Linked DNA regions of Oryctolagus cuniculus. The protein of the gene in region 1 interacts with the protein of each later gene in a pairwise test. Links are inferred from orthologs where the notes say so. Each region holds a gene or a part of one and is shown in the gene's direction. Other genes may lie near its edges.

The links.
Region 2: the proteins of NTAQ1 (region 1) and COIL interact in binary tests that used the Homo sapiens proteins (3 or more experiments, as listed by UniProt). The link is inferred for Oryctolagus cuniculus from reciprocal best matches to the Homo sapiens genes NTAQ1 and COIL.
Region 3: the proteins of NTAQ1 (region 1) and PNMA1 interact in binary tests that used the Homo sapiens proteins (3 or more experiments, as listed by UniProt). The two-hybrid records come from large-scale screens. The link is inferred for Oryctolagus cuniculus from reciprocal best matches to the Homo sapiens genes NTAQ1 and PNMA1.

The regions. Positions count from the first base shown.
Region 1 is NC_091437.1:149,148,820-149,158,734, forward strand, and holds part of NTAQ1 (protein N-terminal glutamine amidohydrolase), read left to right. Parts: intron 1-2,947; exon of another isoform or gene 2,948-3,217; coding exon of another isoform or gene 3,218-3,271; intron 3,272-3,508; coding exon 3,509-3,657; intron 3,658-4,255; coding exon 4,256-4,380; intron 4,381-9,915. UniProt on the Homo sapiens protein: Mediates the side-chain deamidation of N-terminal glutamine residues to glutamate, an important step in N-end rule pathway of protein degradation.
Region 2 is NC_091448.1:32,533,785-32,543,699, reverse strand, and holds part of COIL (coilin), read left to right. Parts: intron 1-3,829; coding exon 3,830-4,940; intron 4,941-5,059; coding exon 5,060-5,146; intron 5,147-5,696; coding exon 5,697-5,744; intron 5,745-8,107; coding exon 8,108-8,177; intron 8,178-9,915. UniProt on the Homo sapiens protein: Component of nuclear coiled bodies, also known as Cajal bodies or CBs, which are involved in the modification and assembly of nucleoplasmic snRNPs.
Region 3 is NC_091451.1:19,887,001-19,897,015, reverse strand, and holds PNMA1 (paraneoplastic antigen Ma1), read left to right. Parts: upstream 1-5,431; 5' UTR 5,432-6,482; coding exon 6,483-7,544; 3' UTR 7,545-8,273; downstream 8,274-10,015. Other genes in the region: MIDEAS (mitotic deacetylase-associated SANT domain protein), read left to right, coding at 70-282, 1,374-1,570, 1,809-1,992.

The DNA.
Region 1 (9,915 bases):
TCTGGGACTCCCACATGGGTCCAGGGGCCCAAGGACTTGGGCTATCTACTGCTTTCCCAGGCCATAGCAGAGAGCTGGATCAAAAGTGGAGCAGCCAGGACCCAAACTGGCACCTATATGGGATGCCTTTGCTACAAGCCAGGGTTTTAACCTGCTGTGCCACAGTGCCGCTCCCCCCTTGGTTGGCTTTTTTAAATTATTTATTTATTTATTTATTTTTTTGACAGGCAGAGTGGACAGTGAGAGAGAGAGAGACAGAGAGAAAGGTCTTCCTTTTGCCGTTGGTTCACCCTCCAATGGCTGCCGCATCCCACGCGCTGCGGCTGGCGCACCGCGCTGATCTGAAGCCAGGAGCCAGGTACTTATCCTGGTCTCCCATGGGGTGCAGGGCCCAAGGACTTGGGCCATCCTCCACTGCACTCCCGGGCCACAGCAGAGAGCCGGCCTGGAAGAGGGGCAACCAGGACAGAATCCGGTGCCCCGACTGGGACCAGAACCCAGTGTGCCGGCGCCGCAAGGCGGAGGATTAGCCTGGTGAGCCGCTGTGCCGGCCCTTTGGTTGGCTTTTAAAAAGGCCAGCTGTTTACAGAGTTATTCTCCAGTTACATTGTGACGCAGACTCTCCTTCTATCTCCACTTGTGAGCCTGGGAAGTGGAGGGGTTGAGATTTGAACCAGGTACTTGCCTGCCCTTGCCTACAAGGTTCCCTGTTCTGTCTCTTATTCACTCTGTACTATACACTTGGGATTCCCACTCACTTCTCCAGGAACGCCTTGCAGGTAAGAACTTGTAATTTTTATCTTTGTGTCTATGTTTCAGCAGCACAGTTTCCTATTATTAATAAGGAGCAAGTACTTAAAAATAAGTTATAATGAGAGTCTGAAGTGAGCTAAGGCAGAGATGACTTCTGGCAGGGGTAGAAGTTCCCAAGTGGATTCCTGGGGGAGAAAGCTTTTGAGCTGGAGCCTGTGTGGCAGAGGGAGGCCGGGCAGGTTGCTGCAGGGGATGGAGTACCATGAGCAAGGCCCATGGAAGGGAATGGAGGACTGTTAGGGGAGCAGCTGTGAGTCACTGAGCAGGAGCACAGAGAGTGTCTGTTTCTGCCTTCCCAAGACAGAGTTGGAGACAAGCAAAGCCCTCGCTCTTATGACTCAGCAGTTCCAGTCTCGTTGCCTTTTCCACTTCCCAGGGGTCGAATGGGCCGAGATGCAGTAACGGGCTTTGTAAACTCTGAGCTATGTGCTGTGGAAGCGGAAGACGGTCGGTAGAGCGTGTGTTTTATCATACTGCTGCCTGTGAGAGCATTTTACCCCTCAGGAACCAAAGCAGCAGACTGCCCTCATGTCCCTTGATAACTGGAGGTCCCCTTCAGCCCTCGGCTGCGCTGGTGAGAGAGAGAGAGTGTGTCCATGCTGTGGGGCTGAGCAGGAGAGGCTGTCCTTAACCTTACCCTAATGCCTACAGATTGCAGCTCGGCTGTTGTTCAATTTTTCCCCTTTTAATTAGGAAAATAGCACAGAACTGAAAAGTTACATCCTGATTTCCTCTCCAGGCTAGCTTCTCAAGTCGTCCCCTTTGAGGTTTTTGGGGTAGTGGTTAAGCTGTCAGGTAAGATGCCTGCATCCCACATGGGAGTCCTTGGGTTTGATACCTGGCTCTGGTTCTGACTCTGACTTCCTGCTAATGCAGACTGTGGGTGGCTTAAGCAGTTGGGTTCCTGCCACCCTTGTGGGAGACCTGAGTTGAGTTCCCAGCTTCCAGCTTTGGCTTGGCCCAGCCTCGGTGGTTGTTATGGGCATTTGGAAAGTAAACAAATAGATGAGAGTTCTCTCTGTCTTTGTTTCTCAAATAATAAATAGACAAGAAGTCCCCTTTGTTAATTGTTCAGAGGAGATCCTTACACACTTCCTCTGTACTCATGCATGCATATGTACTTCTGAATCAAATGTGTGTCCTTATATGCACATGGCTTACAAAAAATAAAGCAGGGGGCCAGTGCTGTGGAGTAGCAGGTAAAGCTGCTACCTGCAGTGCCAGTGTCCCATATGGGCACTAGTTCGAGTCCCATGCTACTCTACTTCTGATCCAGCTCTCTGCTATGGCCTTGGAAAGCAGTAGAAGATGGCTTAAGTCCTTAGGCACCTGCACCCTTGTAGGAGACCTGGAGTAAGCTCCTGGCTCCTGGCTTTGAATTGGCCCAGCTCCAGCCATTGTGACCATTTGAGGAGTGAGCCAGCGGATGGAAGGCTTCTCTCCTTCTCTACCTCTGCCTCTCTGTAACTGTATCTTTCAAACAAACACATAAATCTTAAAAAAAAAAAATGTGTTGATATTCTGCACTTTGCTTCGTCTGTCCAGCTATATACATGGAATTTTTTTTTAAGATTTATTTTTTATTTATTTGAAAAGCAGAGTTAGAGAGAGAGAGGGAGAGGGAGAGACAGAGAAGTCTTCCATCCACTGGTTGACTCCCCAAATGACCACAATGTCTGGGGCTGGCCAGGCCAAGGCCAGGAGCCAGGAGCTTCTTCCAGGTCTCCCACATGGGTGCAGGGGCCCAAGGACTTGGGCCATCCTTCACTGCTTTCCCAGGCCATATGCAGGGAGTTGGATGGGAAGCAAAGCAGCTAGGACTTGAACTGGCATCCATATGGGATACTGGCGCCACAGGTGGTTGCTTTACTCACTGTGCCACAACACTGGTCCCAATGACATGGACATTTTTGCATTAAAAAAAAAAAGATTTAATTATTTCCTTGAAAGGTGTAGTTGCAGGGAGGGAGGGAGGAAGGGATAGAGGGAGTGAGAGAAAGTCTTCTATCCCCAAATGGCCCCAATGGTTCACTCCCCAAATGGGCCCAATAGCCAGGGCTAGCCAGGAGCTTCTTCTAGGTCTTCTGTGTGGGCGCAGGGACTCAAGTACTTGAACCATCTTCTGCTTTTCCAGGTACACTAGCAGAGAGCTGGATGGGAAGTAGAGCAGCCAAGACTTGAACCACCGTCCATATGGAATGTTGGCGTTGCAGCCGGCAGTGTAATCCACTATGCCACAACGCTGGCCCTGACATTTTTGCATTTTCCACATAAATGTACTGATGTCTTTTATCATCTGCGTGGTATTTGATTATACGGCTGTGACACAGTTTACTCAGCGTTCGCTGCTTGATAGGCTCCTGGACTTTTCAAAATTATAAACAGTGCCGCGGAGAGTTTCTTCATGTTTACACTTCACGCGCTCATGGCCATTTTTCGGTGGAATAGTTTCCTAGAGGTGAAGTTGCCGGGTCAAAAGGGTATACAGTTAATGTCTGTAACCATTTCCATCGTTTATTTGACCACCTTCCCAGACACTGGACTTTTAGTCTGTTTTTAGGGTTTTGTGTTTGCTTTATTGTATTTTGCTGTTTTAAGGAGGGTTGTATTAGTGTTGTACTTGTAACCTTTTTTTTTTTTTAATGTGCATTAAGGGGCCTTGGCATTCACCACCCAGATGTGCTTTTCTTCCTAGGATTACCACGTTGTTTTGCTCCATGTGTCAAGTGGAGGACAGAGCTTCATCTATGACCTTGATACTGTCCTGCCCTTTCCCTGTCCCTTTGACACTTACGTAGAAGATGCCTTTAAGTCTGATGATGACATTCACCCACAGTTCAGGAGGTGAGGAGATTCGGCTTGGATTTACGTACATACTTTCTGAAGTAAGACACTGGGATCATGCTAAGGTTATTATTTTATTTTTTTTTATAAAGATCACTTGTCTTGGCATCATCACTGAGTTGATATTTTGATATTTTGAATGACGTGCATGCTACACTAGAGATTCCAGATGTTTTAAAAGTTTTAAAGGTTACCCATCGCATAAAAGGTTGGGAGTCTTTAAAGTTGTGTGATGATCTCAGACATTTTCTTTCAGGCATGCTGGGGAGTTCTCTCCTGCTCTTGTTTGCTCAGGCGGAATGAACGCCTCATGCTGGCAGCACCAGAAAATCATGCAGTTTACCCCAGTACACAGCTGAGTCAGAGGAGGCAGCCTTTTCTGCCTAAAAACAGGCATCCATTCTGTGCCTTTGTAGCTGTGGATTTCAGCTGGCTTCCCTATGTACAGTAAAGCTGCACATGTATTTGTGTTTTGCCAGCAGTACAAACACATGTGAGTGGTTTGCACTCATCATAGGAACCGAGTGCATCTGAAAATGGAGGTACAATTTCCAGTGTGATGCCTTGCTCATGTCAGTGTGTGCTGATTTACGTGCAGGAAATTTAGAGTGATCCGTGCAGATTCATATCTGAAGAACTTTGCTTCCGACCGATCGCACATGAAAGACTCCAGTGGGAACTGGAGGGAGCCGCCCCCGCCTTATCCCTGCATTGAGACTGGAGGTGAGCCAGGCAGGCCTTCCCGGAAAGGTTTCTGATCGAGCACTGCACAGCTCAGCATTTTCTCTTAACAAGGACAAAAATGAGATCATTCTTTGGCTAAAACTCCCTGAGTGGTGAGAAGGTGAGAGAGAGCACTTGTTCTGTGTGTTGAATTCATTAATGGAGCCACACAGAACAGGACTGGAAAGCATAGGAACTCATGGGAGAGGCACACAGAACCACGCCACTGGCACACTGCTGGGCTGTTACATGGTCCTGGGCATTGGGAGGTTTAGCACTGGGGCTAGTAGCACCTTGCTCGGGTAGGGTTTCATGTGATGGTGAAAAAAATTCCCTTATAGCATATGAAATGTCATTTCACTGATTGGGTAATGAAATCTGAATTAGAGGGAGGTGAGAGCTAGCAAGTTTTATTGTACCACTCATTGCATTTGTGTGCTTTTAGGCAGCAATCCAAATGATCATTTTCTGAGATTTAAGGAGATAAAAGGTTCTTCACACTATTAATGCTGTTTGGCATTTGTCTGAGTTTGTAACCTTTTATGATTGTAAGTAACTCACAGCATTTCCCTCTGTTGGTGAGATCATCCCAACACGTGGACCATACAGTCTGTGAAAGTGTTTTATGAGCTATTCAGTGCACCAGAGAAATCAGTGAGGTGTCACTCAGTGAGTGGTGCGGACACATTCTGAGTAATGTGTTGCTAGGTGATTTTGTCTTGTGCAAACATCACAGTGTTTTTGTACCAGCTAAGGTGGCTGTGATGTCACTGGGTGATAGAATGGCATAAGACCCCTTTGTATGTGTGATCTGTCATTGGCTCAAGCATTGTTATGTGGCACATAGCTATATTAATAGTTCAGTGAGGAAGAAAATAAAATTGTGGTGTTTGAAGGGCAAGAACGCTGACCGAGGGTTCAAGCCCTGATGTCTTGAGGCTCACTGTAAAAACCTCTCATAATTAAAAAATTGTATATTGAAATTGCTTCCCAGTTCACCAGCTCACTTTGGTTGCTTTGGAATTGGGAAAGCTTCTGGGTCAGGAGAGGGCCTCGTAGGTCCACCCACTGTGCAGGGCCAGCTCTAGGCCTCAGCACCTACCTTCAGTACCTACCTACCCTGTATCTTTTGGATGTAGCTACCCCAGACAGAGCCTTGCACACAGTAGGCACAGAATAAACAAACACTATCTTGCCAGCACTGATTCTATTTGGGCCATTTCTTAGTTATTGATTTTTTAAAGTTTTACTTATTTTTTATTACTTATTTATTATTTTTATTTATTATTATTATTATTATTATTTATTTATTTGAAAGAGTTACACAGAGCAAGGAGAGGCAGAGACAGAGACACACAGAGAGAGAGAGAGAGCGAGCGAGCTCTTCTATCCGATGGTTCACTCCCTAATTGGCCACAATGGCTGGAGCTGCGCGATCTGAAGCCAGGAACCAGGAGCTTCTTCTGGGTCTTCCACGTGGTTGCAGGGGCCCAAGGACTTGGGCCATCTTCTGTTTTCTCAGGCCATAGCTGAGAGCTGGATTGGAAGTGGAACAGCTGGGTCTCAGACTGGCACTCATATGGGATGCTGGTGCTTCAGGCCAGGGCGTTAACCTGCTGTGCCACAGCGCCGGCCTCTAAAGTTTTACTTATTTATTTGAAAGGCGGAAATACAGAGAGAGAAGGGGAGATAGAGATAGATAGATAGAGATCTTTCATCCACTGTGTTCACTCTCCAAATGGCTGCAACAGCCGGGACTGGGCCAGGCCAAGGCCAGGAACCAGGAGCTTCTTCTGGGTCTCCCACGCAGGTGCAGGGGCCCAAGGACTTGGGCCATTTTCTACTGCTTTTCCAGTCCATAGCAGAGAGCTGGACTGGAAGAGGAGCAGGCAGGACTCGAATTGGCACCCATATGGGATGCTGGCAGCACTATAGGTGGCGGCTTTACCCGCTACACCAATAGCACCGGCCCCCATTCCTTAGGTTTTGTTAACTGCTCCTCATTCGATGCTATTTTGTGCCAGACTTTTGCCAACTCCTTTACATACTAGTTTAATTTCATCTTTACCACAACCCAAGTTTTATTTTCTTCCATGATAAATGAATAAAATGAAGAGAATGAAGGTTAAATAAGTGCCTTGCCTGAAGTACACAGTGCTGGAGGGAGAATTTCTTTTTTTTTTCTTTTCTTTTTTTTTTTTTTTTTTTTTTTTTGACAGGCAGAATGGACAGTGAGAGAGAGAGACAGAGAAAGGTCTTCCTTTGCCGCTGGTTCACCCTCCAATGGCCGCTGCCGCCGGCGCGCTGCGGCCGGCGTACCACACTGATCCGATGGCAGGAGCCAGGTACTTATCCTGGTCTCCCATGGGGTGCAGGGCCCAAGTACTTGGGCCATCCTCCACTGTACTCCCTGGCCATAGCAGAGAGCTGGCCTGGAAGAGGGGCAACTGGGACAGAATCTGGCGCCCCGACCAGGACTAGAACCCAGTGTGCCGGCGCCGCAAAGAGGGAGAATTTCATACATGCCTCATGACGTAGTTTTTTGTCAGGAGTCTCCTGAACTTGAGATTGAACCAGAAGGATTCCACTCTGAAGTGTGGAGTAAACATCTGGATAATTTAACTAGATTGTAACATTCTCTCATGTGGTAAATTAATTGCCTGAAACCATATATTTATCAAAGGAATACATTAGGGATTAGGATAAGTGTGAATTGCTTTTAGCTAATCAGTAGTGCTTTATAAAAAAAAATTAAGATTTAGAAAAAAAAATGATTCAAGAAAGTAAACTTAAAAAAAAAAAGATTATTTATTTAAATGCAGGATTACAGAGAGAAAGGAAGAGAGAGAGATCCTCCATCTGCTGTTTCACTCCCCAGATGGCTGCAATGGGCTGGGCTGGGCTGTTCTGCACCCCTTCATGTGGGTGCAGGAGCCCAGGAACTTGGGCCATCCTCTGCTGCCTTCCCAGGCACATTAGCAGGGAGCTGCATCGGAAGTGGAGCAGCCAGGTCTTGAACTGGTGTCCATATGGGATATTGGTGTTGTGGGCAGTGGCTTTAATGTGCTGGCCTCAAGTGCCAGTGCTGGCCTCAAGAAAACAAACTTTAATGCATGTTGGATACATGTGTTAACAGTAGCAGCTTAGCATTTGGTAGGTTTCCTGTGTTTGTTGTATATCATTTATAATACTGTACATTTAGTGAATTCAGTGGCCATGTGTCTGCAGGAGGATCACTGTTTTGATTCAACATTTAATGTGTTTTGAAGAAAGCCACTTGGGTTTTTCCTGGCAGGGAAACAGATTTACCATGAGGATGTGAATTAGTCCTTTGGCAGCTTTGGGAGTTATCAGGCCTACTGATTTCTGGTGCTGCTTCCCCTGGCTTCATGAAGTTTCACCCCATGTAAGAGATCAGTGCTTGGATGAAGACTTGGCTGCGGCTGGGTAGGGGGAATCCCTCAGCAGATCGCTGGAACTCTTTTCTGTGTAGCTGTCTCCTCTGTGATACACCACCCCTCAAATCCTGGGCCTTCCAGAACTTCCATTTCTGTCTTCTCGCCTTGGGAAACTGCTTGGCCCTTTGTGCCCTGTCGCTGCTGTGGTCCTCAACCCCTCAGGCAGTGCCAGCGAGGGAGTCCCAGGGCTGCCCTCTTTTGTGTCTGTTCCTTAGAGATGGCAGGCCTGTGCTGCCCATTGTCCACTGTCTGGGAACAGTTGTTCCATATAGGTTGCCTGGTTTTCTCTAAGTATATGGTAGACGTGCAGTTGCTGTAACAGTTCTTGGATAGGCAGAAGCAGAAATCTGTACATATGTCTAAAAGTTTTTATTTTGGACATGGAAGGTTTAAATTATATATGAGAATAAAAGAATGCATCAGACTGTCAGCACTTAGCAGTTCAGAGCTCATTGATCCATTTGTGCCCATCTACTTTCTCCCTCCTGTATTACTTTGAAGCAAATCCAAAATATGTCCTTTTAGTATATATCCCTAAAATGTAAGGATTCCTTTTTTAAAAATACGTGGCTGGAATACCATTGTTACATCTATTGTAATAACATTTTTTTAAAAGATTTATTTATTTTACTTGAAAGAGTTACACAGAGAGAGGAGAGGCAGAGAGAGAGAGAGGTCTTGCATCTGCTGGTTCAATCCCCAGTTGACCACAACGGCCAGAGCTATGCTGATCTGAAGCCAGGAGCCAAGAATTTCTTCTGGGTCTTCCACGAGGGTGCAGGGACCCAAGGACTTGGGCCATCTTCTACTGCTTTCCCAGGCTATAGCAGAGAGCTGGATAGGAAGTGGAGCAGCTGGGACTCGAACCAGCACCCATATGGGATGTTGGCACTGCAGGCGGCAGTTTTACCCGCTACGCCACAGTTCTGGTCCTATAATAACAGTTCTTTAAAGTCATCATGCATATATATCTAGACAGTGTTCAAACTTAGTTATCTCATGAAGTTCTAGTTTTTTTAAACATTATTTATTTACTTGAAAAGCAGAGTTATGGAGAGAGAGAGATAAAGAGGTATTCTACCCACTGGTTCATTCCTCCAAATAAGTTGCAATGGCCAGAGCTAGGCCATTCCGAAGCCAGGAGCCTCTTTGGATCTCCCACATGGGTGCAGGTGCTCAAGCACTTGGACCATCCCCTACTGCTTTTCTCAGGCCATTAGCAGGGAGCTGGATCAGAAGCGGAGCAGCCAGAACATGAACCAGCATCCATAAAAGATGCTGGCTCCATAGATCGTGGCTTTACCTGCTAGGCCGTGGCGCCAGTCCCTTAACCTTTTTTTTTCTACTTTGTTTATTCAAATCAGGGTCCAATTGAGGCTCCCATATTATTCTTGCTTGATATGTCTCTTTTTTGCAAGATTTATTTGAAAGACAGGGTGATGAAGGGAGGGAGGGAGAGAGAGAGAAATAAGATCAGAGTGATCTTCCATTTGCTGGTTCACTCTGAGAGAGGTAGCAGGGAGAGATATGTAGATCGAGAGTGATCTTTCATCTGCTAGTTCACTCCTTGAGTGCCTGCAATATCTGAGGCTGGGCCAGGCCAAAGCTAGGAGCCAGGAATGTCATCTGGGTCTCCCACACGGGTGGTAGGAATCCAAGCAATTGGGTCACCATCTGCTGTCTTTCTAGGCACATTAGCAGCAAATTGGATTGGAAGTGTGGAGGCCAGGACTCACACTGGCACTCCAGTACAGGATGCTGGCATCCCAGGTAGTAGCTTAAACTGTTATGCCATGATGCCTGCTCTGATACGTCTTTTTTTTTTTTTTTTTTTTTTTTTTTACAATTTATTTATTTGAAAGGCAAAGTTACAGAGGCAGAGAGAGAGAGGTCTTCCATCCACTGGTTTGGTCCCTAGATGGCCATAACAAATGGAACTGCGCCAATCCAGAGCCAGGAGCTTCTTCTAGGTCTCCCACACCGGTGCAGGGGCCCAGGTGCTTGGGTTATCCTCCACTGCTTTCCCAGGCCATAGCAGAGAGCTGGGTTGGAAGTGAAGCATCCAGGACTTGAACTA
Region 2 (9,915 bases), on another chromosome or scaffold:
GCCGGCGCCGCAAGGCGGGGGATTAGCCTAGTAAGCCGCGGCGCCGGCCAATACAGCCATTCTTTCACCTTCAGCACAGTATTCAGTAGACTGAAGTGAGCTGGCAGTACTTCATTACAAGCTAGGCTTTGGGTGAGGTGATTTTGCCCAACAGTTCCGCTCATGTAAGTGTTCTGAGCACATTTTTAAGGTATGCAAGGCTAAGCTGTGCTGTTTGGTAGGATAGGTTTATTAAATACATTTTCAATGCAATGATATTTTCTACGGAGTCTATCATGGTATAACTCCATTGTAAGTTGAGAAGCATCTGTATACATAGTAGGTGATCTGCATCTTTGTTTTTAAATGCCGTAGAGTGTTTCTTTATATGACCATGCCAGTATTTAGACAGCTCCTTATTAATGGATGTTTTAGGTTGGTTCCTCACTGTGGGGAGTATTCTCATGTATCTTTCTGTGCTTGAGCACTGATTCAGCAGGATACATCCCAAGAGGAGGTACTCCTTCATCAAAGAGAAGACGCGTCTTCAGTTTGATAGGTACCAGCACACCGACCCCCAGAAAAGTTGTACAGGTCTATTTCTGCCAGTAATATGAGTTACTTTTGCTTGTTATCATGTGAGAGGTGGGGGAGCAGAGTGATTGAGAGCTCAGGGCCTCCCATCTAAACCTTGGGTTTGACTTGGCTCTCCAGCTAATTCATTGTGTGCCCCTGTTGAAGAAATTTTACCTCTCTGAAGGTGATAATGCAGGCAGTGGCCAGACCAGAGGAAGGCTGCAGGAAACAGGTGAGACTCACAGTGGGTAAAGGGTCCCCCTTGACCTTCGCGGTTGATGGGACAGGTTTATTAGAAACCTACTAGCGTCTCCTTCAGAGGACAGCAACATCTGATGGTTGTTAAATACAAATTAGACCTGGTGTTCCAATAGCACTTGCTCTGAGCTAGGTGTGCTCTAAATATACAGTAGCTCAACTGAGAACTGTGATTACCATTATCTTCCTTTGTATACCTAGGAAAGGCTGAGGTAATGGTTTTAAAATAATTGAATTACACTGAGAAGAGGGATTTGAACCCATGTAATCACTGTGGCCTTGAAAGGCAGTGAGTGGAAGTGTTAGGCAGGGTAGGTGGGTATGTCTGTGTTTTTTAAAAAGATTTATTTATTTATTTGAAAGGCAGAGCAACAGAGAGAAAGAGAGGAAGGGAGTTAGAGGGACATAAAGGAGAGGCAGAGGAAGGGAGAGATTTGGGAGGGAGGGAATTGGACAGAAAGAGAGAGAGAGATCTTCCATCCACTGGTTTATTCCCCCAAATGGCTACAATGGCTGGGGCTGGTGCAGGCCAAAGCCAGGAGCCTGGAACTCCTTCTGAGTCTCCCATGTGAGTGGCAGAGGCTCCAAGCACTTAGGCAATCCTGCGCTGCTTTCCCAGGCACTTTAGCAGGAACTGGATGGGAAGTGGAGCAGTCAGGACTCAACTTCAGTTTGGGTTGCCAGCATCACAAGCTGCAGCTTAACCTGCTGCTTCACATCAGCCCCGCATGTCCGTTTCTGTTTATCGAAATCCTTAAAGTAGCATTGCAGATTTACAGGGAATACTTGCATCTGGCTAATACCACATAATTTGCCCAGATGGAGGATCTGTTTTAAAAGTTTTTTGGTTATCATATCTCTTATCGCTAATAAAATAAGCAATTCACTTCTGTTTGTGAAAGGACAGCTCTGTTTGTTGTTGGGGATCCAGATAGAGGAATGAAAAACGTTGCAGGGCTGGCGTTGTGCCATTGTGGGTAAAGCCGCTGCCTGCAGTGCTGGCATTCCATATGGGGGCCAATTCTAGTCCTGGCTGCTCCACTTCTGATCCAGCTCTATGCTATGCCCTGGGAAAGCAGTAGAAGATGGCCCAAGTCCTTGGGCCCCTGCACCCACGTGGGAGACCCGGAAGAAGCTCCCAGCTGCTGGCTTTGGGTCAGCACAGCTGCAGCCATTGCGGCCATTTGGGGAGTGAACCAGCAGATGGAAGACCTCTCTCTCTCTCTCTCTGCCTCTCCTCCCTCTGTAACTCTTTCAAATAAATGAATAAATCTTTAAAAAAAAAAAAAAAAGAATTGAACCTTGAATTACAACGTTGCTACAAGTAAAAACAAATTAAATTTTTTAAAAAAGGAGAAAACTGATAGTCTGACCTTTTCTAAAACTACTACTACTGCTTCTTTTTTTAAAGATTTATTTATTTATTTAAACATCAGAGAGAGATCATCATTCACTTGTTTGCTTCCTAGATGGCTGCAATGGCCAAACATCTGGGCATCCCTAGCCCAGTCAAGTTGACACATAAAATTAACCACAACAAGTCATCGAATATTATGGGTCACTGTAACTATCCCTCAGAACATGAATTGTTTAGTATCTTACTAAACTTTTTTTAACGATTTATTTTATTTATTTGAAAAAGTTACAGAGAGAGGTCGAGACAGAAAGGTCTTCATCTGCTGGTTTACTCCCCAGAGGGCCACAATGGCTAGGGCTGCACTTATCTGAAGCCAGGAACTTCTTCTAGGTCTCCCATGCGGGTGCAGGGGCCCAAGGACTTGGGTCATCTTCCACTGCTATCCCAGGCCATAGCAGAGAGCTGGATCCGAAGAGAAGCAGCCAGGACTAGAACTGGTGCCCATATGGGATGCCGGTGCTTTAGGCCAGGACTTTAACCCACTGCGCCACAGCGCTGGCCCTTCCTAAATTTTTAAAAAATATTTATTTATTTGAAAGAGTTACAGACAGGTAGAGAGTGAGGTCTTCCATCTGCTGGTTCACTCCCTAGATGGCCACAACTGCTGGAGCTGGGCCGATCAGAGGCCAGGAGCCAGTAGTTTCTTGTGAATCTCCCACGAGGGTTCGGGGCCCAAGGACTTGGGCCATCTCTACTGCCTTCCCAGGCCACAGCAGAGAGCTGCTTTGCTGGATGGGAAATGGAGCAGCTGGGACTCAAACCTGAGTTCATATAGGATGCTGGCACTGCAGGCAGTGGCAGCTTTTACCCACTCACTATGCCACAATGCTGGCCCCCTGCCTAAAGTTTTTTATTTTTAAAGATTTATTTATTTATTTTAAAGTCAGAGTTACAGAGAGAGAGAGAGAGAGAGGTCTTCCATCTGCTGGTTCACTCCCCAGTTGGCTGCAACGGCCGGGGCTGCATCGATCTGAAGCCAGGAGCCAGGAGCTTCTTCCAGGTCTCTCACGTGGGTGCAGAGAGCTGGATTGGTAGTGGAGCAGTTGGGACTCGAACTAGTGCCCATATGGGATGCCAGCACTGGAGGTGACAGCTTTATCCACTATGCCACAACACTGGCCCCTCAACATAAAAAGGCAACTCAACATTCCAAAAACAAAAATGGATAATCATCTTTTAGGGTTGGTAACATACATGTAGTGGAAAGTTGAGTGTTGAAATTAGATTGAGAATTAAATTGCTTTTCTGCTACTTGTCAGCTGTGGATTCTGGGCAGGTTGCTTGTCTGAGATGTAATCGTGTGACAGACTCTGTGACGTGACAGACTCTCCTCTGTAGTGGTGTTTAGATGAGAGGTGATCCATAGAAGATGTTTGGGATGCAGTCAGTAGTCAAACAAGACCAACCATTTGAAAGTTGACCATAAGTGATGCTGTCTAGGCCATTTTGTCAAAAGGCGTCCTTTGTGTGTTAAGTGATGCAACATTTTTTCATGGACTGGTGGTACTAAGTTTGTAGCATCATCTTGGTGTATAACTAAGTCCTTGGGATGTATTTATGCAGTGCTCACTCTAGCTTTCTCTTTTGTTCTTTTGACAGAGTTAAATTAGAAGAGAGAGGAGTTGCTGAGAATTCTGTAGTAGTCAGGAATGGTGATAGTACTCATTTTTTACCTAGAAAAGCAAAGAAGCGGGCATTTAAGTTGGAGGAGAACGAAGAAAGTGACATAGATTGCAAGTATTCAAAGAAGCATTGGAAAAGGCAAGAAAACAGTAGTAATAATGAGAAGGCCTTGGTTCCGCACACAAAAGCAGTCACAGAGCAGGCTGTGGGGAAAAAAAACAAGAGAAAGAACAAAGCAGCATGTGGCACGATGGATGACAATGATGAAGAAACCCAAAGGAAATCACCAAAGAAAAAAGAGAAATGTGAATATAAAAAGCAGACCAAGAATTCCAAGTCTCCCAAAGTGCCCGTGGTAAAAGAGTGGACCGCCCAGAACTGTAGTACTCCAAAAAGTCCTGCTAAGAACAGCCTGGCGAAAGCCAGAAGGAAAGCTGGTGTAGGCACTGTTTCAAAAGACAGCCCCAGTTCCTCCTCGGAGTCGGAGTCTTGTCACGAATCCACCAGTGATGGGCTCAGCAATGTCACTTCGGAGGCCAGAAATTCCTCAGAGAAAATTCCCACTGAGTTAGCAAAGGAAGGATCCTCTACAAAAAATACGACTGCAAACAAACTGCCTGCAAAAGGTGGCTTTAGCCTTACTCCGAGCCAGGGCAAGACCACCAGAACATCCTCGTCTAGTTCAGACTCGAGTTCAGAGTCGGATGACCAGTGCCTGCTGTCTAAGAGCACTCCCGAGAGTGCCTCGGGGCTCTTCAAGACGGCTGGCCTCTTCCCAGGGAGAGGCTGCCCAGGTCCAGGGCTGTCCTCACAGGTGCCACCTGCTGCCAGCTGGAAGTATTCTGACTTAAGCGGTGGCAGACAGGCTCCCGGTCCTCCCTCTGTTGCGACTCTCCCCTCCAGTCTAGGAAGAGGATGGGGTCGAGGAGAGGACCTTCTTTCTTGGAAGGGAGCCAGAGGTCGGGGCGCGCGGGGGAGAGGGCGAGGGCGAGGGCAGGCTGTGTCTGGTGTTGTAAACAGAAATGCTGACTATCAGAAGCAGAAGCAATTAAATGAAATGATAACAAACGCATCTACTTTTATCCAGGTAGGTATGATTGGTTGTAGCTTACCTCCCCCACTTTCCCATGGAGTGTATCTGGAGTTCATGTCATGAGTTTACGTTTTTTTACAAATACCAGTCACTTGACTAATGCTGTTTTTCAGAATCCAGTAGAGACACACAAGAAGGATTATAGTCTGTTACCACTCTTAGCAGCTGCCCCTCAGGTTGGAGAAAAGATTGCATTTAAGGTATGCTTTATTTTATTTATTTATTTAAAGATTTTATGTATTTAAGAGACACAGAGAGCTCCCATCTACTCGTTCACTCCCCAAATGCCCCCATTGTCTGGGCCAGGCCAAAGCTGGGAGCCTGGAACTCAACCCAATGTGGGTGGCGGGAAACTCAGTCCCTAAGCTGTCACTGTGCCTCTCAGGGTCTGCATTGGCAGGAAGTTGGAATCAGGAACCAGAGTCAGGCATCAAATCCAGGCATTCCAGTAAGGGGATGCGACTGTCTTAAATGGTGTCTTAGCTGTTAGATGAAAAGCCCCCCCCCCAAGGTATATTTTAAAACAGCAGTGATTGTAACCAAAATGGTTAACTCCATTTCCAAACAAACTTCACTCGTCTAGTCACATTAAATAATATTTATAAGAGCCCTTCTCACTGGTTGATGATAGAGTTCCCCTGGCTTGTGTGGGCACCTTTACATTTCACGATTTTCTCGGGTAGGAGGGAGGAGCTGTGGGAATGTGAAAGTGTACAAGAGCTTGGTATTTGTGACTTTTTTCTTCTGTAGCTTTTGGAACTAACATCCAATTACTCTCCTGATGTCTCTGACTACAAGGTAAAGTTGTTTATTTAAAAATAATTAAGTTTTCAGTATATTAATAAAATGAAAATTGTAGATAATGCTACTTAAATGAATAGTATAGAATTTTTTGAGTGAACAGTGTCATAAAGTAATGTAGAAAATGTAAACATCAACCTATAAACTTCTGAACAGCTGAATTCTGTCCATGCTGTTTTCCTGGCACTTGAGAAGAATATAGAATAAAAATTGATGAGCTTGATTTTTTTTCCTAATCAATTTCAACACATACTTATTTGAAAATCCACTCCCTCATGAGCCTAAATTTTGAAAGACCATATTATGAAAATAATAAATAGCTCTCACCTGGAAAAGATTATTTTTATTATAAGCATCTATTTCATGTATTTGTAAATGTCTTCTGATTATTATGGTCTAATATGATATCTTTGCATCATCACTTAACCATGTAGTTCACAGTCATCCTTGGAATTTACTCTCTTTATATCTGTATGAGACTCTGTCATACAAGTTTTTCATTGTTCAGTAAAAGCTTGTCACAGTGAGATTATGTTTCCTTCCCTTTTTTTCAACCAACAAAATTTTGATATAATCTTACTAAAATAAATACATACTCCTAATATGTACAATTTTTATGTCAGTTAAAAAGTCTTTTTTGGTATATGTCAGTTAAAAAGTTAAAATGTATACTTTCTTTTTTGGTATAATATGTAGAATTATAAGCATTAAAAATTTTATTTATTTATTTAGATTTATTTTTATTTATTTGAAAGGTAGAATTACATAGAGAAAGAGAGAGATAGAGAGAAATCTTCTATATACTGGTTCACTCCCCAAATGGTCACACCAACAGGAGCCAGGAGCTTCATCCAGGTCTTCCACATAGATGCAGGGGCCCAAGCACTTGGGTCATCTGCTACTGCTTTCCCAGGTGCATTAACAGGGAGCTGGATCAGAAGTGGAGCAGCCGGGTCTTGAACCAGTACCCACATGGGATGCTAGTGTTGCAGGTGGCAGCTTAATGCGTTATGCCACAATGCCAGCCTGTCAGTCTATATTTTTAATGTAATAATTAGTAATGCTGGAAGGAAAGTTGTTCTGGACTATCTTGGACAGCCCAGGGTGTTGTGTTACCCCACCATAGATAACTGATTTTCTGTGATATTTGACGAAATGGCAATGAATATTGAATTGATAAATTTAATAACCTCTGCCAATTATAGTTCTAGATCATATGATTTATTGTGTATTAAATTGGTACTAGTCACCATAGTTATTTCCTTGGCAGGCTGTCTGCTTACTTTAGTTCCCAATATTTTTTGGAGAGTTTTGAAATCACATTCAAAACCATTTTAAGAATTACAGTTGGTCCCACTCTTTTGCTTTGACCTCAGATGCTGAAATCGAGCTTGATCATCTGCTTTATTCGTTAAGCTCATCTCCAGAAGTCAGATCTATCCTCAAAGATATAGTCTCCCAGACTCCTGGCCACCATTTGGTTGGTTTTAAACACCACTGTTGGCTGTGCCCAGAAAAGCTGGGTAGAAGCAGGAGGAACTGACTGGTGGGCCTCACTGGGTGCCTCCAAAGGCTGCCGGTCTGTCTCACCACCACCCACATGCACAGGGCAGTGCACCCTCTTGATGCATTTGAAAACCAGCTCCCAAAGCTGGGGACCTGGAGGAAGGGACCTCTAATGCTGTCAGTGACAAAGGGACTTTCTGCTTGCAGCTTACTACCACTTGTAAAAGAGGCCCAGTTGGGACATGTGTGGCCTTCCCTGATGTTGTCACGAGCAAACCTCATCTGAGTTAATCATGCTGGCCCATGCTTTTCCTCTTTCTTCTATTCAGTCACTTTGATGACCTAGTCTAATCTTTACTTTTGTGTTCTTTAGGTCAGTGTCTGCCATTTGTGATTTAAATGTATCTATTTTGCTTCTGAGGGTAATTTTGTGTGTTCAAAGTGTTTATCAGAGAGAGGGGTTAAGAGAGGGAGAGAGATCTTCGATCTGCTGGCTCACTCCCCAAACGGCTGGGCCAGGCTGAAGCCAGAAGCCAAGAGCTCCATCCTGGTCTCCCACATGGCAGCCAGGGCCCTAACACTTGGGCCATCTTCCTCTGCTTTCCCAGGCACATTAGCAGGGAGCTGGATTCGAAATGAAGCAGACAGGACTGGAACTGGTGCTCCGATGTGGGATGTCGGCTTCATGAGCAGCAGCTTAATTTCCCCTGCACATTGATTTATTTAAATTTTTTATTGAGTTAAAATTCATGTAACAAAGAATTTACCAGTTTACAGTCTGTAATTCAGTGGTTTTAAGTATACATACCATGTTATATGTGTTGATATTTGACTCGGACTTTTATTTTTGAAAGGAAGGAAAAATACTAAGCCACAATCCAGAGACCCAGCAAGTAGATATAGAAATTCTTTCATCCTTACCTGGTGAGTCTTTTAGAAATGAATTTAAACATTTAGCCTGTACATACCTGTGGTGGTTTCTAAATAGCCAATAAAGAAACATCTATGGCTGCCACTTAGCCGGCCTCGCTGACTGGCGATATCTGTGCCCCTCTGTGCTATACTCCTCTTAGCCAGATCACTGGCAGTCTAAGAGGAGTTGGGCAAATTCTAACTGCTTTAATATGTACTTTCATCAAAAGTTATATGAACTGATGAAAACAGAAAAGAATTATTTCCAGGAATTAGGAACACCACTTTAAAAATGCTGTTAAATTATGTGTGGGTGGATCAGCTATAAAAGATTGGGAGACATTCTGTAAAAATTTAGGAAGATTCTGTACTTAAATTGCCTTGCAAAGTTTTGCATTCTTATGTTAATTAACAAAACAATGGAAATTGCAGACAATACATTATGGGCATTGTTTACCTAATGAACTCAAAAGAACTACTTAGTGTTATTTCAGAAGTTTGACAGGTGAACATACTTTTATGTATTAAGTCAAAGTAAATTTTTTAAAAAATGTTTCCCTGTTTTATCACTGATTAACCCATTAATGGTTCTGAAAGCCTGGAACAGAGAGCTGAGCTGTGCCAGAGGGTCCCTGGCTAGAGAGCAGGGGAGATTGTTTTCTTGGTTATTTTTTGCAGACCCTACTGCAGTTAATTGTTTTTTTTTTTTGTTTCTTTTTAAATAAGATAGGGAGTAGGAGATTCAAAATTCCAGTAGATAGAAATGTCACAAGTGTTTTTAGGTCAATTCCTATGTGATATTAAATAAATGATTAGATATAACTGTTTTAAGTTTTATTTATTTGAAAAGCAGAGTGACAGAGTGAAAGAGAAAGGGGGAGACAGAGAGAAAAAGAGATCTTCCACCTGCTGCTCTACTCCCCACATGGCCCCAAGGGCTGGGGATGGGCCAGGCCAAAGCTAGGAGCTTGGAATTCCATCTGGGTCTCTCACGTGGGTGGCAGGAGCCCAGATCCTGGGGCCATCCTCTGCTGCTTCCTCTGCATTATCAAGGAGCTGGGTCAGAAGTGCAGCAGCAGGGACTTGAACTAGGGCTCTGATGAGGTGTGCCAGTGTTGTAAGCAGTGGTTTAACCCTCTGTACCTCGGGTGTAACTTACAAGGAGAGCTTTCCAGCTTTCCTCTGGTGAAGTTTCATTGGTAGAAGCCCCTTTTCTCAGTGGACAGAGAAACTTGTCCATCTCAGTTTCCACAGACCCAGCCTGGTCATTTCTTGTCAGGTTGTTGCAGGTGATGACATCCAGTCAGAACTTTTCTTCTCCAGGGCATCAAGAAATTGGCCTGTAGAAGTACAAGGAGCCCTCTATTTGCATGATACTATTATATATGATTTTCAGTTACCATGCTTTAACCAGATAACACCAGTCCCCCAGTGCCATTGGGAATGTTAAGTGTGAGTAAGTCCCTAGAGTACTGCTGCTCTTCAGTCCTCAGATGGCTGTGTCAGTCATATACAGGCATCGTGACCTGTGACCAGTCTTGTCACTTCGAGAAGGGTTGCTGTGCAGCCGACATTTGGTTTACATACGCAGCAGAGCATGGAGTTGTGCTGTCTCCTTGTCTTACAGTGGCAAACCCACACAACATTGTACAAAAATGGGTAATTCTGAAAGGGGATTGCCCAACAAAGATAAAAGCGTGGTCAACAGCAAAATGGGACAGCAAGTGATAGAGCTGAAGGTGCCATCAAA
Region 3 (10,015 bases), on another chromosome or scaffold:
AGAGCTGGGTCAGAGCTGGGAGCAGGTGACTGGGCTCCATGCTCACCGCCCTCCTTCTCACCTCCGTAGACATCCCAGAAGTTCCCAAGGGTGCCTCCTCCCAGAAGAGAGTCCCCAGGTGAAGAGAGGCTGGAGCCCAAGAGGGAGCTGAAGGAGCCCGGGAAGGAGGGGGAGGAAGAGGTGCCAGAGATCCAGGACAAGGGGGAGCAGGAGGAGGGGCGAGAGCGCAGCCGGCGGGCAGCGGCTGTCAAAGCCACACAGACACTACAGGCCAATGAGTCGGTAAGTGTGACCAGGGACTTCCTCTCGCTGGGCCTGGGACTGCAGCTGGGCCTGGGGGCGTGGGAGGGGGGGCAGAGCAGGAGGTGCCCAGAGCACTTTATGCTGTGTGGGAGGCCCAGGATAGCACAGCTGGCAGGTAGCCTGAGTCTATTACTATTGCTATTACTATTGCTATTGCTATTACTTTCTACACTACACTGCTTTGGCTCTGAGAGTCAGCGGGAAAAGGCCTTCCTTGTGAGTAAGCCCAGCAGGTATGTGATGGGCTGGGGCCGCATGCGTGAGTTGTAGCTCAGCTGGGGCTCCCCCTGTAAGAGAGCTTGGTCCCTGATGAAGGGTCTGGAACAGCTGAGACGATGGCGGTGACAAAAATGGGTCCTCACACAAGTTCCCATCCGGTGCCTTCACTTCCATTACCTCAAGGGTTGATCCCCACTCTGCAGCGCTCACACCCCCCCCCCCCGGTCCTTTGATTCCCAGGGGTGCTCTGTGGGCCCACGAGGGGTAGGGCTGGGAAGGGGTCCGGGTGGGGAGCCATTTGCTTCCTCAGAAGCTGTGCCTGCACCTGGCGCTATAGCGGGGTCTACGCCCTCGGTGGGGTCCCCCGACTTTGTGAGCACTTTGCTGGGAGGCTCGGCCCAGGGCACAGACGCAGTCACTGCTGAGGGAACCTCTGGGGCTCCTCCAACCCCGGTTCCCCGGGCCGCGCCTCCTCCAGGTGTGCAGCTGGCGTCCTCGGCTCTCCCACTGTGGTCAGCGGTTCCCACGCTGTGCACTGGCCGGCGCCAGCGTCCTGCACACGCGCTCCTGTGTGGCAGCTTGTTTCCCCAGAGACAGTGGGCTCCTCTCAGTGGCCTGAGTCCCATTCATGGCATAGGTGCAGGCGCATCCGATGAGTCCTGTGCGCGCCGGGACTGTCCCACCAGCAAGTCCTTGAGCGCCAGCGCTGACCAGGGCGCCGGGCTTCCGAGGGGGCAGGGGGGCTCTGTCACAGGGAGATCGCCCTTTGGGGACCCTGTGTCCCCCGGAGGCCACGGGGAGGGATCTGTCCTCCCCGGAGGACTCAGCTCTCCTTGTTTCCTCCTCTCCAGGCCAACGACATCCTCATCCTCCGGAGCCACGAGTCCAACGCCCCCGGCCCTGCCGGCGCTCAGGCCCCAGAGAAGCCGAGGGAGGGCGCCGGGAAGTCACGGAGGGCACTGCCTTTTTCGGAGAAGAAGAAGAAAACAGAGGCGTTTAATAAGACCCAGAATCAGGAGAACACTTTCCCTTGTAAAAAATGTGGCAGGTGAGGACACAGACCCGACGGGGACGGCGCAGGGTGGGAGCGGCAGGGGCGGGGGAGGCGGGGGGGGGGGGCCCGGAGCGTCCGCCTTGCCTTCTGATTGGCTCCTCGCGTTTCTAGGGCGGTGACGTCACCGGGCAGCTTGCGGGAGGTGGGTGGTGGGTGCCCGCGCGTGCGCAGTGGGTCTCCCGGCGGTGGCGCCCGGCTCTGACCGGAGGCCCTCCGTTCCGGGCGGCCGCAGGGTGTTCTACAAGGTGAAGAGCCGCAGCGCGCACATGAAGAGCCACGCGGAGCAGGAGAAGAAGGCGGCGGCGCTGAGGCAGAAGGAGAAGGAGGCCGCGGCCGCCGCCGCCGCTGCCGCCGCCGCCGCCGCCCCGCACCAGCCGGCGCTGCGCGAGGAGAGCGGCGCGGGGGAGAAGGGCTGAGCCGCCGCCGGGCCCTCGAGGGGGAGTGCAGAGAGAGCCCCGTGGACCTGCCTCTGCCAAACCAATAAGACAGTGAAATAAACGGCTCTTTTATTTATAAAGGCCCAGGAGCAGTGTTAAGGGCTGCAGGATCCAGTTCTCTTCGCATCCGGTCTGTCGGGGCCGGCTCCCGCCGCTTCCCTCCGGCGCCTGCCGGAGCCGCCGTGGCCGCCAAGCACAAGTCCACCCGCTGCAGCGTTGTTCCCCCCCCGGAGGCTGCCGGCGGCCGGCCCTGTTCTGTCCCCGCCGGGGCCCAGGCCCGCGGCCTCCCGGAGGCTGCCCCCCACCCCCGGCCGGGGACTGTCCCCTGGCTGCTCGCTGGGCCGGCTCTGTGCCTGTTCCAGGGAAGGGAGCTGCGGGGCAGGGCCTGAGCTGGGGATAACCCCCCCCCCCCCATTTGCCAAACACGGCCCCGGAGGCCGCCTCGGAGCTTAGCCTCGAACTGCTCCTCGGTGCCAGCTCCCTGCTCGCCTCTGCCCTGCCCTCAGCAGCTGCCGCCTGATGCCCCCGCCCCATGCCACCCGCAGCCCTGCACGCTGGCGATCTCTGGATCCTTCTCTGGGAGGGGGAGGTCTCCTAACTAGATTGGACAGGAGCCTTCATTCCTTGACTCGTGTCATTTGGGAGCTATTTATTTATTCTTTAATATTTAATTTCTAACATCCTCTCAGGGACCAGGGGCCTCCTGCTTTCAGAGGCCCACGTGCATTTAGCCAAAAACGAGGCACCTTGGCACCCCCAGCCCACCCTACCCCCCCCCCCCCCCCCAGTTCCCGGACCTTGTTGCTGGGGGAAGCTCTCGCCAATAGGGTTGACGGTAGCACTGAGAGACAGCGGGAAGCTGGGTGTCAGGCACACGGAGACTAGCAGGGGCGGGGGATCCCAGGCAGTTCTTACTGCTGCCTCCAGGGAGTTGGCAGGCGGCCAGGATTCCGGTTGTGTTGATCAGGCCTGGATTCTGGCTTCCATATTCGGCAGGGAATCGCTCAACTGAAAGGGCCAGAGTGTTCTGGAAGCCCCTGTACTTGCCAGTCCCATGGAAGAGCTGTTGTGTTTCAGATCTTGTTACTCAACTTGAGTTGCACAAGAAATTCTAAGTGAATGCGTCTGGAACAGGTCAGCATGTCAGGAAGGAGCCGAGAAGTCTTCATTCTGCTGCTCCCCGGGAGCTGGGCTGAAAGGCATCCGTGGTAACTGGGAGCGGAAAGGGAGTTGTATTTTTAAACTATGCACTCTTAGGTATTTTTCAGCGTTCATTTATGCATTAATGTGGTTCTGCAGGATCCCAGCTATGGGAGAGACCAGTTTCTTTTCCTCCCAGCCTCCCCCATCACCTTCAGAGGAGAAGCTCTAGGTCCCAAGACAGCGAACACGTGGTGTGCCCTGCAGACACAGGAGGGTAGCAACTTCAGGCTCTCTTCTAAATCCTTGTGTAATATGAGTGCCTTCACAGCTTAGCCCCAAAGTGCTGCTTAGGTTGCCCGAGGTTTTTTCTATTTAAACCCTATTTGGTTTCAGGCCCCTTTATGGACATGTGGTAACAGAAGCCTCCTCCAGTCACCTGGGACCCTTCTGCTCAGTGGTAGCATTCAGGACTTGGATATCTTTTTAAATAAGAAAGTGATTCCACCCTAAGCTCACAGAGACCAGACCAGGTGAACGTAGCCGGGGACCTGACTGTGAATCCCGACAGACACCGGATTTGAGGGGCTGATGCTCCAGGATGCATTTGTTCCTCAGATGCGGTGGGGAAGGAAGCTGTTTCGGGGGCAGATGCGACCTGCCAGTAGCGTAGGTGCAGCCATAGAGGCTGGCAGAGGCGATCCTTAACGGTGCTTTCTTCTCCCTGGGAACACCCTAGGCTTGTCTTCTGTTGCTTTCCCTCCTATTCCGAGCTCTTTGCTGTAAGAAGTTAGACGAGAGACACCTCTAGCTTTGTAATCTCCCCACGCCGCCTCCCCATATCCATCTCCCAGTGTCCACCTGCCGTCAGCCACCGGCGTGACACTGCCCTAGTGCCTGTGTTCTGGACCGTCTCTGAGGTCTCTCCCATCCGAGGAGACGGTGACATCGTTCTGTCCTCCATGCCTTCGGCAGCGCCCCTCACCGCTGAGGCACACACTCGCCCCTCTGCCGCCGCACCTCCGCCCAGGCACGGAGGTCTCGTGCTGCTCACGGCCAAAGGAACTGCCCATACTTAACTGCCTCAGTGACCTGATCTCTCATGTGCCAGATGCCTAGATGAAGAAGGAACACAACACATCCCGAAGCCTCGGCTGTTTAGCACCCTCTCCACGGGGGCCCGCTTTTCTGGACAGTATTTATTACTAGACTGGCAAGCCTGACTCCTTTAGGTTTACAGGAAGTGTGCATATTTTTATAAAACAAGTGTCCTCCCCCCCCCATTTTGCTGTGTTACTGTTTGCCTCTAACGATTTGCAGCTGTTTCTGTTTCACCTTTTACTCATTTGTCTCCAAGTTGAAGGCCTTGTAGGAGGGGACAGCCTTGACAGTCTGTAATTATTGTACAAATATTTTAATAGCATATAAAGAAGTATATTCCTTTTATTTTGAAACAGATGATCAGACACTGCCTTTTGTGTGTTTGCTGCCTGTGGCAACCTTTTTTAAAAAAGACTGTTACATATGAAAATGGTGTACATATATATAAATATATAAATATTACCTCTTTGGCTGTACAGTTGTGATAGAGCAGATGGAAGATTTTATTTTTTGTGTGCTTTTTATATAAAAATTAATACACTAAAGAGAATCTTGCTGATGTGATTGTAATGTACCTATGTAACTTATTTACTTTTGAATGTTCTTCTGTATCTTTAAACCTTTCATTAAATAAGGTTTTAAAAATTCAGAGTTGGATGCTGTGTTCTTTTGGGGGATTTTCATCCTCTGAGATTGACCGAAGCGGCCCTTGCTCTGGCTTGAAGAGTACCCGAGGCAGGGATTACAGAATACTGGTGCGTTGCCAGCTGTAGGTAGGTAGGTGGCCGGCCTTTTGACTAAGTGTTAGATAAGAGGAAGTGGCCGGCGCCGCGGCTCACTAGGCTAATCCTCCGCCTAGCGGCGCCGGCACACCGGGTTCTAGTCCCGGTTGGGGCGCCGGATTCTGTCCCGGTTGCCCCTCTTCCAGGCCAGCTCTCTGCTGTGGCCAGGGAGTGCAGTGGAGGATGGCCCAGGTGCTTGGGCCCTGCACCCCATGGGAGACCAGGAAAAGCACCTGGCTCCTGGCTCCTGCCATCGGATCAGCGCGGTGCGCCGGCCGCAGCGCACCGGCCATTGGAGGGTGAACCAACGGCAAAGGAAGACCTTTCTCTCTGTCTCTCTCTCTCACTGTCCACTCTGCCTGTCAAAAAAAAAAAAAAATTAGAAAAAAAAAAAAGATAAGAGGAAGTGTCCAGTCTGTGTGTCACACAAGTGGGATACTTGGGAGCCTTCGTTTCCTCTGGATGAGATGCCGTCCACGCACCTGGCTTGATGCGCCAGTTGCATGAGCAAGTCAGCCACCACGGGTGATACCCACTAGTATCTGAAATCCGCTCCGGATTAGAAGACAGAAGCCCTCGATGCTTATTGGTATTTTTTTTTTCATTGTAAAAGTCTGGAACATCTGATGGCTGCGGTACCATGGCAACCGCTCCCCCCACCCCGCGCCGCTGCGCACGGAGTCTTCGGGAGCGCGTCGTCCGGGACACCGTTGCCATGGTCACGCGCGCGCGCCTCGCCGGCGACCTGGATCCGGTGCGGCGGCCGCGGCTCGCGGGCCGGCCCCGCCCTGCACTGCGGCGGGAACGCGCCGGCTGCCGAGCTGCGCCACAGCCGCCGCAGCCCGTCGCGCCACGCGAGCCCGGCCGGCCCCACCAGCCTTCGCCTCCCGCCTCGCTTCTGCATCCTTCCTGCGTCTTTGCTCCCCTCAGCCCTCGGTTTTCAGCGGTCCTCGCTGTCCGGAGGGGTCCCCGCGCCCGAGAAGAAGCCGCTGCTCGCCGGCTGGCCCGGCTGCCGCCGCGGTGACCTCGGACAGCCTCTCCCGCCGGGCCCGGCACGCCGAGCGCTCCTTCGGGCTGCCGCTCCTCGCCCCGCTGAGGGCCGGGCTCGGACCGCCAGCGCCGGGGCGACTCCGGGAGCGGCGGCCACGCCCCGCGGCCACACCCCGGCGCTCCCGGGCCCCGCGGCTCCCGCAGGCTGCACTCTGGGGCCGCAGACCCCGACCCGGGACGCGAGATGGCGACAGCCGCGTGACTGACTGAGCCCCTGCGAGGCCGCGCCGGGGAGCCGCAGACGGACAGCGGGGCTTGGGTGTCGCTTGTTACCAGCGACCGCGGGGACCTGCCGCCCGCGCGCCTGCTTGCGGGGAGTGTCTGGTGTTGGTTGGAGTTCGGGGAGCCGCAGTCTGATCCGTATCTGTCGAATCGGTACCTTTGATAGTTGGGAACATGGCGATGACGCTGTTGGAAGATTGGTGCAGGGGCATGGACGTGAACTCCCAGAGAGCGCTGCTGGTTTGGGGGATCCTAGTGAACTGTGATGAGGCTGAAATCGAAGAGACCCTCCAGGCTGCGATGCCCCAGGTGCCGTATCGAGTGCTTGGGAGAATGTTCTGGAGGGAAGAGAACGCGAAAGCAGCCTTATTAGAGCTCACTGGCGCTGTGGATTACGCCGCGATCCCCAGGGAGATGCCTGGCAAAGGAGGGGTGTGGAAAGTGCTTTTTAAGCCCCCCACGTCTGACGCTGAATTTTTAGAAAGGCTGCACCTCTTCCTAGCTCGGGAGGGGTGGACCGTGCAAGATGTTGCCCGCGTCCTTGGGTTTCAGAACCCGGCCCCGGCCCCGGGCCCCGAAATGCCAGCCGAGATGCTCAGCTATATTTTGGATAATGTTATTCAGCCTCTCGTGGAGTCCATATGGTACAAGAAGCTGACGCTGTTCTCGGGGAGGGACATCCCGGGGCCTGGGGAGGAGAGCTTTGACTGCTGGCTGGAGCACGCTAATGAAGTCATAGAGGAGTGGCAGGTGTCCGACACAGAAAAGAGGCGGCGGCTGATGGAGAGCCTCCGGGGCCCCGCCGCCGACGTCATCCGCATCCTCAAGACCAGCAACCCCGCGATCACCACCGGCGAGTGCCTGAAGGCGCTGGAGCAGGTGTTCGGGAGCGTGGAGAGCTCTAGGGATGCGCAGGTCAGGTTTCTGAACACGTACCAGAACCCGGGAGAGAAGTTGTCGGCTTACGTCATTCGTCTGGAGCCGCTGCTGCAGAAGGTGGTGGAGAAGGGGGCCATTGATAAAGAGAACGTGAACCAGGCCCGCCTGGAGCAGGTCATCGCCGGGGCCAACCACAGCGGGACCCTCCGAAGGCAGCTCTGGCTGACCGGCGCTGCGGAAGGGCCGGCCCCGAACCTCTTCCAGCTGCTGGTGCAGATCCGTGAGGAGGAGGCCAAGGAGGAGGAGGAGGAGGCTGAGGCCGCGCTCCTGCAGTTGGGCCTGGAGGGGCACTTCTGAGCCCCAGGAAAGAGGGCTGCCGTGCAGACCCGGCCCGCAGCTGCTGTCCTGGTCCCGAGTAGTAAAGGCCTAGCTGCCTGCTGTTTTCGTTGTGTTTTTCTTGGAGGGAGGGGGTTCTGGCCTGCCCGTTCCTGTAACTCCGCCGACACTGCACAGAGCATGGGGAGCTGCTACAATGCCGATGGGCTTGCTGGCTGCGGCGCCCGCTGTCGACATGCCGGCACCCTCGGCTGTGACAAGTGTGAACCCGTGACTCTTCCCATGGAGATAAATGTGAAGTCGCACGTGCAGATGTTTAGCCCAGGGCCTGGCTCGCAGGAACCGTGAACCATCACATTGTTATCAGCGTCGAGGCTAGTGTGTGTTGACTGTAAATCATTCCATGTTTATATTAATGGAAAGAAACGTGCATTGTTTAGGTAATACTGCTCAGCCTCACAGTGCAAATCTCTTAGTGCTCATCTTTAAAGAGCCGGATCTGTGGAACAGAGTGTTCTGAGACTCCAGCTGGGGCGCTGGAAAAGGACTGCAGTTCCGGAGCTGTGCTGATCAGAGGTCGCGCAGAGAAACCACCTGGGGAGATGGCTAGGACCCGGTGACAGTGACCCACCCATCCCCCCACTCCCCTTCCAGTCCTTGTCAAAATAGTTCTTGTTCACCCAGATTTTAAATGTTCTACATTTGAACTTATCAAATAGATGTATAAGAATAAAAATATTTTAAAAACTATCGCTGTCTAGTTTTTCCAACATATTTAACATTTTTCAGTGTAATTAAGCTGTTTTCTTTTTTCTTAGGAAAACTTTCCCCCATGTCATAAAAAAGAACCTTTTACTTAAAAAAAAAATAGTGAGATGGAGCGCTCCCACAATGTGTGTGTATTAATGTATCCAATATTTATGTGTTCTTCAAGGCTAATGTTAGGCTATAAACAGACATATAAGTACAATATTAACTTACTAAAAATTTTTAGAAAATCCTAAAAAAGGCTCAGGAGATAATCTAGAAATAGTTGTTTTTCCCTTCCCTTTTTATATTTTTTAGCTAAAAATTTTTGCTTCACTGAAGAAGTGGAGCCATTTTATATCAACATATAAAAGGGAAACACAGCTTAAGGTCATGTGCACTTGGCTGCAGATGTCAGTGACAAGATGACCATCCATCGAGACCCTCAGTAACCCCAGTGGTTGCAGCCATGTTAAGAGTTCAGTGGAGTCTTCCCCCAATAACGTTTAAAATGACCACTGACTCATCTAACAATCACACAGTACATAATTTGTACTTTAGACTGCTATTAGTACATATTCTTCCAGATTTTTCTGTACTCACTCGTGTCCTCACCTCCCTCACAACCATCTCCACATGCTTGCCTCCCTCCCCACCACCAACAGACAAACCTTTTCACAACCCCAACCCCCAACAGGTACCACTCCTGGGCCCCTGCCCAACTGGCGGCTACACTGACAGCTTCCCCTCCCTCCCACCGGCATCGGGAGTGCATACACTCCCCCACCCCTGTCTGCATGCATTCTCTCACTGCCCCTGCCAATACTCCATCATAAACACTCCCTCCTTTCAAACACAGGGGCACCATGCCAGTCTCCCACCCCAACACACATTCAGGTTCTCACACACATGCACACACACCCTTGAACAGCCAGCACACATGTACACACCACACACCCATGCACACATACATCGCATTCTTAAAAGCTAGTTTTTTTCAATACATGCCAAGTTGATTGCTTCCTGGGAGGGAAGGTCATCACCTAGGAGTTTATTTAATTTCATAACAATTGTACCAGTTTGCATTAGGTATGGGAATACTTCAAAAGTTCATGGGAAATGGAATTAAAAGGTTAATTTTGGTGTAATTTTGCTTTAATCCTTGCATAGGAAGACCCTTCAAGAAATTCATGAAAAATGGGTAGGATGAAAAAATGTGCATGGATTTCAAAAATTTTTTGCACTAAAGTAAATGTGTCTTTTAATTCCATTTTTCCATGAACTGTCTCAAGCACCCTTGTATATGACGTTTAAAAATACTGGGGTGGGCATTTATCATAGCAGTTAAGATGCTACCTGGGGTGTTCGCATCTCATCAGAGTTCCTGGGTTCAAGTCCAAGCTCCATTTTTTAAAAATGTATTTATTTATTTGAAAGTTAGGGCTACACAGAGAGAGAAGGAGAGACAGAGAGAGAGAGAGAGAGAGAGAGGTCTTCCATCTGCTGATTCACTCCCCAGATGGCTCAGAAATGTAAATTTTCTGCTTCTTAAGGAAGGACAGCAGCAAAAAACTTTATCCTCATCATTAAAGAACTTCAGGAAAGAAGCAGAAACAGCACTACCGTTGCATTCTGTGGCCAACACTACACCGTGGCTGACGGTACAGAACGCGCGCTAGCGGAATGTGTAACACTGCTGACGCTGCCGGATGCTCTGTGTCTCCGCTCCCGGTCCTGTCAGCTGA